Linked DNA regions of Drosophila melanogaster. The protein of the gene in region 1 interacts with the protein of each later gene in a biochemical or structural test. Each region holds a gene or a part of one and is shown in the gene's direction. Other genes may lie near its edges. The genes, in order: Pgant9 and Sgs3.

The links.
Region 2: of the proteins of Pgant9 (region 1) and Sgs3, one has a biochemical effect on the other in vitro, tested with the Drosophila melanogaster proteins (one study listed by BioGRID).

What each region holds. Positions count from the first base shown.
Region 1 is NT_033778.4:16,729,734-16,735,055, reverse strand, and holds the start of Pgant9 (polypeptide N-Acetylgalactosaminyltransferase 9), read left to right. Parts: upstream 1-2,139; 5' UTR 2,140-4,157; intron 4,158-5,322. UniProt on the Drosophila melanogaster protein: Catalyzes the initial reaction in O-linked oligosaccharide biosynthesis, the transfer of an N-acetyl-D-galactosamine residue to a serine or threonine residue on the protein receptor.
Region 2 is NT_037436.4:11,510,266-11,513,920, forward strand, and holds Sgs3 (salivary gland secretion 3), read left to right. Parts: upstream 1-1,955; 5' UTR 1,956-1,969; coding exon 1,970-1,997; intron 1,998-2,070; coding exon 2,071-2,966; 3' UTR 2,967-3,137; downstream 3,138-3,655. Other genes in the region: CG33272 (uncharacterized protein), read right to left, coding at 58-324.

The sequences.
Region 1 (5,322 bases):
GAAAAGGTTTAAAATGTATACTTAGCACTAATAAATTACAAACTGCGCATACAAAACGTATTTATTGAGCCAGATTATGTGTTCCATAAAATCGACTTAAATCGTACGATGGCCAAGGAACATAGCTTTCATTCAAAGTCATTTATCAAATTACACCTTAATAGTTTAACTTTTACCATAACATGCTTCGATTTGAATAATTAAACCAGAGCTTTTGATGTCGTTTCAAGTCTCTTAGATTATTTGTGAGCTTGTGCTTAATTCCCAGAGGGATCAAATTGCTTTGCAGGCAGTAGTCCTGTTTGTGCTGGAATTTTAATTGGTTGCAAAATCAATAATCAGCAATGCGGCATAAACTATTTATGTGTGTCAAACCAATTGCGAACCGACCTGCGGCCCACAAGTTAAATTCTCTAAACTAACACAAATACCAGCTAAGTACACACACTGACACACATGAAAACTTCCGCTCACTCACACCAATAAACGGAAACAAAACTTGAGTCAACAGTTATGGCAGGCAAATTGACTTGAGAACATTTTTTGCTGCAAAGTATGCAACGATTTTTCGGCACTCCATTTGTGTTTGTGTGTGTATGTGTGTGTTTTTCGGGTGTTTTCCGGGTTGCTTTCCAGTGAATTTGAGGGGCGAGTCCGGGGCTGCCTAACTAAGCCGAGTCAAAATCTAATTGGATTTGTGCTCACTCAATGAACTGCAAACGAAAAGTGTTTTATATGATTATTCGTCTGGGAGCCTCCGGGGACCCGAGAAATGAACATTTTTATTTCCATTTTGCACTTGCCATACTCCATTAAACCAAAGTGCAAGTGTTTGCAAAATATGCAAGAGAGGAGCTACAGTGGAAAAATAATCAGGTTATGAAAGTATGTAAACGGGATTAAAATTGCTTTGAAATAGGTTTTTAAATATAACTGCTAACTAACTAGTTTGTTAAGCGAAATATTATGCTTAAGTTTATTTGATTTTTGAATCTGTTTGTAATAAATATACATTTTTATGTACCCCCCAGTCCCAGTGTATTTATTAATATACACCTTTTTTTCGCTTTTGCTGTTCGCTTATTGAGCGCCCTTGTGAAGGCGACAAAATATTTGCCACGCGACATTTCCAGCAATTAGGCGTAAAAACACGTAGCCAAGAATGGCGAGCGGGAATACCAGGGCATACTGCGGAATCGTTGGGTTTATCATAGCGAAAATCAACGCCAGCTGAAGGCGGTAGTAAAAAAAAAAAAACAAAAAGGGAGCAGTGCAGTCTGTAATGAGACGGAAAGCGAGCGCCAATCGCTGCAATTAAAATTAATTACAGTATTTGTCAGCTTAGCCCGGCTAACTAAGTAACTGGCCACCAGTAAACCTGCAATCTGGCCAGGATCCATTCAAAACACGGTGTGGCGGAAGGGGAAATCGGGGTGTGGGAGAGCTGCTTTGATTGCAATCGCGATCGTTAATTAAATGTCGAAAGGAATGTTGTTGTTGCAGCTTGTGTTTGTGTTGCAGATGTTGCAGCGGCAGTTAATGCCGGTGCCTCCTGTGCGTAAAGATCAGCCAAAATGGATAAGGGCCAAGTTGCTGTTGCCGCTGGCTATTTATATCTGCAGCTCGCTGTTGCACGCAATGTAATGTACATATAACCAATGTTGCTGCCGCAGCAGTTGTTGTTGCATCTGCTGCTGCTGTTGTTGCTGCTGCTGCTGCCGTTGCTGCTGCGGGCATTATCGCCCTTGATCTTGGCTAAATCGAAATCGCCGGCGTTGCGTGAAGTGTTGCAAATGAGTTTTTGTCTGGGGCGTGCATTGCATTTTCAATTGGTCGGCAAATTGGCAGCGCCAACGAAAACAGCCATCAAATCAAAATCACAGGTGGCACAGCTGTATTGAAATTGGCATTTTCCAGCAATTTGGGCACCGAGCATCATTTTAAAAATGGGGACGGTTTCATCAATTGAAATAGCAGACCTAATTAACCTAAATAAGCGAAAAAAGTGAAAATTCTATAATAACAAACAATGCAAATATATAAATGAAATTTCATGAAATACTTCAACCTTAAATGGAATTTTTCGAACTTCCGTAAGCCTTGAAAATGTTGTTATATTGATACTATTTATTAGCTTTATGGTGAAAGTATTTAATATCAAGCTGTACATGATCACACTAGCTCATCCATTTGTTCGTCAATATTTGCAATGCGATGCATTGTATATGGCCAAATGCAGTTGTGCAAACAGAAACTTGAGCGCTATCAATATATGACAACAAGCAGTGAAAAACACGAGACTCGTTTTGAGGCCAAGAAAACTTTTTCGCTGTATAAGAAAAACTAATGAAAAATGCGGCGCAGAGGAAAAAGTTGATTGGTGTCGTCCTCCCATTCTCCCAAACGTTCCCACAAATATCCACCACCAATGCTGCCCCAAAACTTGGCCATGTTTCAATTGAAAGAGCCAAACAAAACCAATGAAAAGTCCATAACGAACGGCGGGCGGAAAATGCGGAAAATAGGGAGGGGAGGTGCCAAAGCGAAGCAATTGAAAAACAGCTTCCGTCGGTGTTGCAAATTGTCAATTTCGTGGTCCGTTCTTTACACATCACAATTGCTATGTAAAATGCAGTGAATGTTGGTAGCCAATCGCAAATAGATTCTGTCGCCAACTTCTAAAAAATTTCAATTAAATAAAGTTAATTAATATTAGTCATTATTAAATTTCCACAAAAATATGGTTACTTTCCTGCGGCTAAACCGCCCTCATCATTCCATCCCCACCCCCAGCAAAAGCAAAAACAAGGCAAACAACTTCAATATGCAAATGAGCCACGTGCAAGCCGATTTGAAGATGGCCAACGACAAGTGCAGTGGCCAACACGTTAGACTTGCAGTTCGAGTTGCAGTTGCCAGCCGGCTTAAGAGTCGCGAACGAGCTTGTTCGATGTTGCAACAGTGATGACCAGCGGAGCCCATTAAAAGCTAAAGAAAGTTAGTGCAACTAAAGGCTAGTATATCATATAATATGTATATGTATATATGTATGTATGTATATATAAAAATAATAATATATATACCATATAATAATAATATTAACCAATTTAACTAGAAGCCCACATTAAACACATCCGAGACATTCTGAATATATGCATTTATAAATTTATAAAGGTTAGTAGTAGTATTAGTTAGTTTTTAGTTTAGTTAACCTCGCTTCGTATTTTTGTTTTCTTTTTTTGGTTTGTTTGAATTTAAACAGATTTCTCAGCCATTCCATGGATGAAAAGCGAGGACCTTCTGGGAAACTCTTATCCCGTCTTTTGCGACATGACAGTCTCCGTCAGTCTCCTCCCCCGCGCCTAATAACCCATGAGGGTGGACCGCTCTTGCAATCCCATTTCAAATTCCATATCCATTCCATTTGGCGTATACGGGCTCATTTGTCATTCACAGGCTGAGAACAACAATGTCTGGGGCAACAACAAAGAGTCTTGCTGTGTGTCTCTGTGTGTGTGTCTGTGCTGGGCTTATCAGCGAGTGTTTATCAGAAGGAGCGAAGTGACCCACACAACAACCCCCCCACCCACTTGCAACTCGAACATCGAACCTGGGGCTGCGAACATGTTGCGAGCCACTGTTGCCGGCTAAAACTCCAATGGGAAATACTCAGTCGATTTTTGACCGTCAAATCAGCAGGTTGCGGTCGGTCCGTAAGTGCGAGTGGGAGAGCGCGCGTGCTAAGGTGAATTGTGAATCCGTTGCATTTCTCTTCCTCTTCCACTCCTCACACCTACGCAGAGGTGTGTGCGTGTGCGTGTCTGTCTGGCTGTGTGTGTGAAATAATGAAATAACGAAATAACAACAACAGCAACACAAATCACAGTCAGCTGTGAAGTTTCTTTGAATGTGTGAAATCATATATGCAAATGGCAAAAATAAGCAGAAATTACAAATTAATAGTGTGAAAAATTCATACACAAATTAAAGCATGCTAATCGAAATAGCTCAAAAAGCAACTGAGTAAAAATCAAAGCATACAAAAAAAAAACAGCCGCAGGGTATAATTTTTTGTGAAACTTGCCAACTGAATTGAAATTGGAACTTGGGAATTTTTGACAGCAGAATCAAGGAGCAAAGCGGAGAGCGAAAGGCGGGTAAGTTGTTTTTTTTTTTTTTTTAGAACTAACGGAGAAGAGCTTGTAAACACGCGACCCGGCAGCATGCCGTCCCTTTTCCACTCACCTTGCACCTGTCGTTTTGCCTTCGGTCCTCGCCCTCTCCCTTTTCCGCCCCCTGGCGCCATCTCTTTCCCGCCTGACAGCATATCAAACAAAACATTCATGTTTGCTGTGTTGTTTGTTTGTTTGTTGCCTTGGTGCTCGTGCACCGTTAGCTTGGGCCGACATTTTACAATGCTTCCCCGCTTCTTTCGCCACCTCTTCTTCTTGTTTCAGTTTTTGTTCTTGTTCTTGTTCTTGCTCTTGTCTTAGTGTTAGCATTGGTCCCCTGTAAACTCACTTCCTCATTTTCAACTTTTCAACGGGCTTTCGACTTTGTCTGCGGGCTAAAAACAAAAACAAAACGAAACATAAATATGCATTCCCTTTTGAGATAGTTGTACACATCGGAAAAAATTGCAAGGAAATAGAAAATTTTTCAAATAAAAATAATATATTTCATTAGGCAGCTCACGCGTCTTAAAAAACCTGACATGGAATAAATCTCATTTTTCATTTCTAAAACATATATGCATAATAACTATAGATGTCATATTCCTTAAACCGACAAATCTACATTTATTTTGTTTAGTATTTTGCAAATGCTTAAATTACCCAAAAGAAAACCTTCATATTCCTATAGTTATTTAAATGTATAACAATCGAAGTGGGAGTATAGTTTTTAGGGGACTAGATAAAATTGGCTTCGTCGTACTTGACGAGGGTTTAAAAAATTTGTGTGCGAAAGAAATGTGAGGTTTGTTGTTTGCAAATTACTTTTTATTGGGCATTTCCTTGACTTTGCCGACTCTCCCCGTTTTTTTTTTTTGCAGGCACTTGCAAAGAAAAATCAATAAATTTCATTTGATTTTTATAGTCGCCTTCTGCTCCGCTAGCAGCTGTGCCCGTGTTTGGCTTTTGTATATTTGTGTATTTCTGTGCGAGAAAAACCCTTGAATGGGTCCGCTTTGTTTTTGCCTCTGGCTTTGCCATGGCAGCACTTAAGCCACCTCTTCAACTCCCACTCTTTTAGCCTGGTTGGTGCTTGGCTGGCCTGTCTGGCTGCGTGCGTTTTGCCGGTTTTTGTTTTGGTTTTTGCTGG
Region 2 (3,655 bases), on another chromosome or scaffold:
TGTTTGAGTTCTTTTTTATCATTTATTTCAGTATATATCGTCCAGAAAAGAACAAAACTAGTTTTTCCTGTGGGTCACAATCACGATGGTCTTGTGGCACCTCTTGGGATTCTTGCACTTCCGCTTGGGAATGCGGGTGTGGCACCAGTTGTTGCCCCTCCAACAAAGCTTTTTGTGAGTGGAAGCGGCCGTTGTTGTTGTTGTGGTTGATGCTGCAGTGGTGGTTGTTGTTGTGGTGGTGGCATCAGTTGTTGTTGTGTTACTAGCAGAGGAAGCCATCTGGATGGCCAGGGCAATAAGGGCAACCACGAAAAGGTATTTCATTTTGAAATTTGATGGAATTTACTAAGAAGTCCGCAGTGAAATAATCGAATTTGCTAGATGCTGTGTTCTGATTTTCTGGAGTTGCAATTAAGTCTTTTATAGTGGAATTTTCTTCTGTTTAGTTCCTCGTTTTGTGCTATCGAGTACATTTGCCAAATAATAATTCTCACAATGATTTCCTTCCTGCAGACAAAATAAGTCTCATGAACTATATTAAATATTTGCTATCAATAAACGCCGATCCATTGGGTTACCGACGACACTAAGACAGCTGTATAAAGGTTTATGATATTCATAGCAATGTACCAAATCAAACATGATAGGAAAAATAAGCCGAGATCACAAATAAAATTGATAAAAAATAGCTTAAGTATTTATGTTCGGATTAGATTTTTTGTTCTACTTTTATTATATTCATATTTGAACTTATAAGAGAATCGGATTATTTCGAGAAAGTCGTAGCAAATGCTTGCAATGCATTCTTAGAAGTTTTCCGTGAGTTTTGTTTTATAATCTGCCATTTTGAATTATCACTCAATTATATTGCTTTACATGTTGTTATTACTTTTTATTTATATTAAAATATAATTTTGATATACAATCGATTTTTTAAAAGCAATTGTCAATATAATTCTAGATGATTTGTGATTATAAACCTTTGGTTTTCGTTTATAATGCAAATCTAATTATAAGTATATAGTAGTACGTCTAATACATTTCGTACTAAACAATTAAAACCTTATCGTGAAATACTGAAGCAATAAAGAACCAAGAAAATGTTATTGCCTTTGAGTGGTTTGGAATTACATTTAGCTAGAGGTTGGTGTATCGGCTAACAAGTAAAGAAGGCTGTATGTAAATTCGTTGAATCAATGTCAAATTGCCTGTCAAAGTGCAAACGAAGACCCAAAATGTCTATCCTAATTCGAACCTAAAAATATATATTTTTTGAATATGCAATACTATAAGATAATTGAATAGTTTTATGGGGCTTATTTGTAAAGCTAAATTAAGCTAAATTTAACTGTCCTTATTTATATTATTATATTTACTCAGCCTATATTAAAGACCTATTATTTATAGAATTTAACGCAGTTTGTCTGCAAAACATCTCTACACCTTTTTCTACCCGTTACTCGTAGAGTAAAAGGGTATACTCGTTTCGCTGAGAAGTAACAGGCAGAATATAAAGCATATATATTCTTGATTAGGGTCAATAGCCGAGTCGATCTGGCCATGTCCGTCTGATTCTGTTTGCCACTCCCACATTTTTGAAAAATGTTTTATAATTTTTTCATATTTTTATTATCTAAATCTATCCCTTCCACACCTTAGAGCATTAAATTTAATTTCTTTCCCCCAATTTTTACCGATATTCGTGAAAAATGTTATACATTTTCCATTTCACTTGAACTAGCTAAGTAACGGGTATCTGTTAGTCTCGTTAGCGTTCTCTCTTGTTTTAAAATAAAGTCCAGGCGATCGAGTCGACCCAAAAGTATCAAACAAAGGGGAGAAGGCTTGTGTTTGCATAATCGAAATACTGACTCCATTTTTAGAATTGCAGTTTCAGTGAAAGCGTACCTATAAAAAGGTGAGGTATCCGCAAGAAAAGTATCAGTTTGTGGAGAATTAAGTAAAAAACATGAAGCTGACCATTGCTACCGCCCTAGGTAGGTTTCACCGAATGCTCTTGTTTTCGGTATTTGAGCCACTGATATATTCATCCGTTTGCCTTCTCCACAGCGAGCATCCTGCTTATTGGCTCCGCTAATGTTGCCAACTGTTGCGATTGTGGATGCCCCACAACTACAACTACTTGTGCGCCACGTACCACGCAACCTCCGTGCACAACTACGACAACAACAACCACAACTACTTGTGCGCCACCCACACAACAATCTACCACGCAACCTCCATGCACGACATCTAAGCCCACCACACCTAAGCAAACTACCACGCAACTTCCGTGCACAACACCCACCACCACTAAGGCCACCACCACGAAGCCCACCACCACTAAAGCCACCACCACTAAGGCCACCACCACTAAGCCCACCACCACTAAGCAAACTACCACGCAACTTCCGTGCACAACACCCACCACCACTAAGCAAACTACCACGCAACTTCCGTGCACAACACCCACCACCACTAAGCCCACCACCACGAAGCCCACCACCACGAAGCCCACCACCACTAAGCCCACCACCACGAAGCCCACCACCACCAAGCCCACCACCACGAAGCCCACCACCACTAAGCCCACCACCACGAAGCCCACCACCACTAAGCCCACCACCACGAAGCCCACCACCACGAAGCCCACCACCACTAAGCCCACCACCACGAAGCCCACCACCACTAAGCCCACCACCACGAAGCCCACCACCACTAAGCCCACCACCACGAAGCCCACCACCACTAAGCCCACCACCACGAAGCCCACCACCACGAAGCCCACCACCACTAAGCCCACCACACCTAAGCCGTGCGGTTGCAAGAGCTGCGGTCCTGGAGGAGAGCCATGCAATGGATGTGCTAAGAGGGATGCACTGTGCCAGGATCTTAACGGCGTACTCCGCAATCTGGAGCGCAAGATCCGTCAATGCGTCTGCGGTGAACCGCAATGGTTGCTGTGAAGCGTCGAAGGAGCGTCTAATCCACTCCCGTACTGATCGATGTGACTGCACCCCTGCGAAATATATTCTGTGGGGGAGCTCGGCCAGGACTTTGACTACGCTTTGTTTTTGTTATCATCAATTGATTTTACGTGTAAGAATTAATAAAATTAGTTAGACTGCATAAATTTTAAAAGCATTTATTATTATTTTACTTGTATTATTTATGACAAATTATTATTTATCTGTTGGGTTTTCGAAAATGTTGGTTCTAAATTAAGTTTGGCCATCATTTGATCGACTTTTTCGAATGTATCTGTTACTTTTACCAATGCGTTGGCTTTGGCTCCTAGTTCTATGCGAAGTCTTAACTATCCGAGCTCTTATGACTTGGTCAACTTGTCTCAGCTAACTACTGTTGGCTCGGGTTCGAACTTCGGTTTGGGCCCGACTCGAATCGGCGGCTTTTACGATCCGATCGCCACTCGAGTGCCGTTGCTTGTCGCTGGTGGACGCGTTTCGTTGGATATCAATTGAAATACCTACATATGTTGAACCGGCGGCGTTTTCTTCGACCCAACATAAGTGACAAATAAGTGCAACTAAAGACGTGAACATATTTACAGGATATAAAACAAACGTCCGCTATGTGCGATTTATAATTGGTGGGTGATGCCATATAAACAGCGGGAATCTACTATAATGGCTAT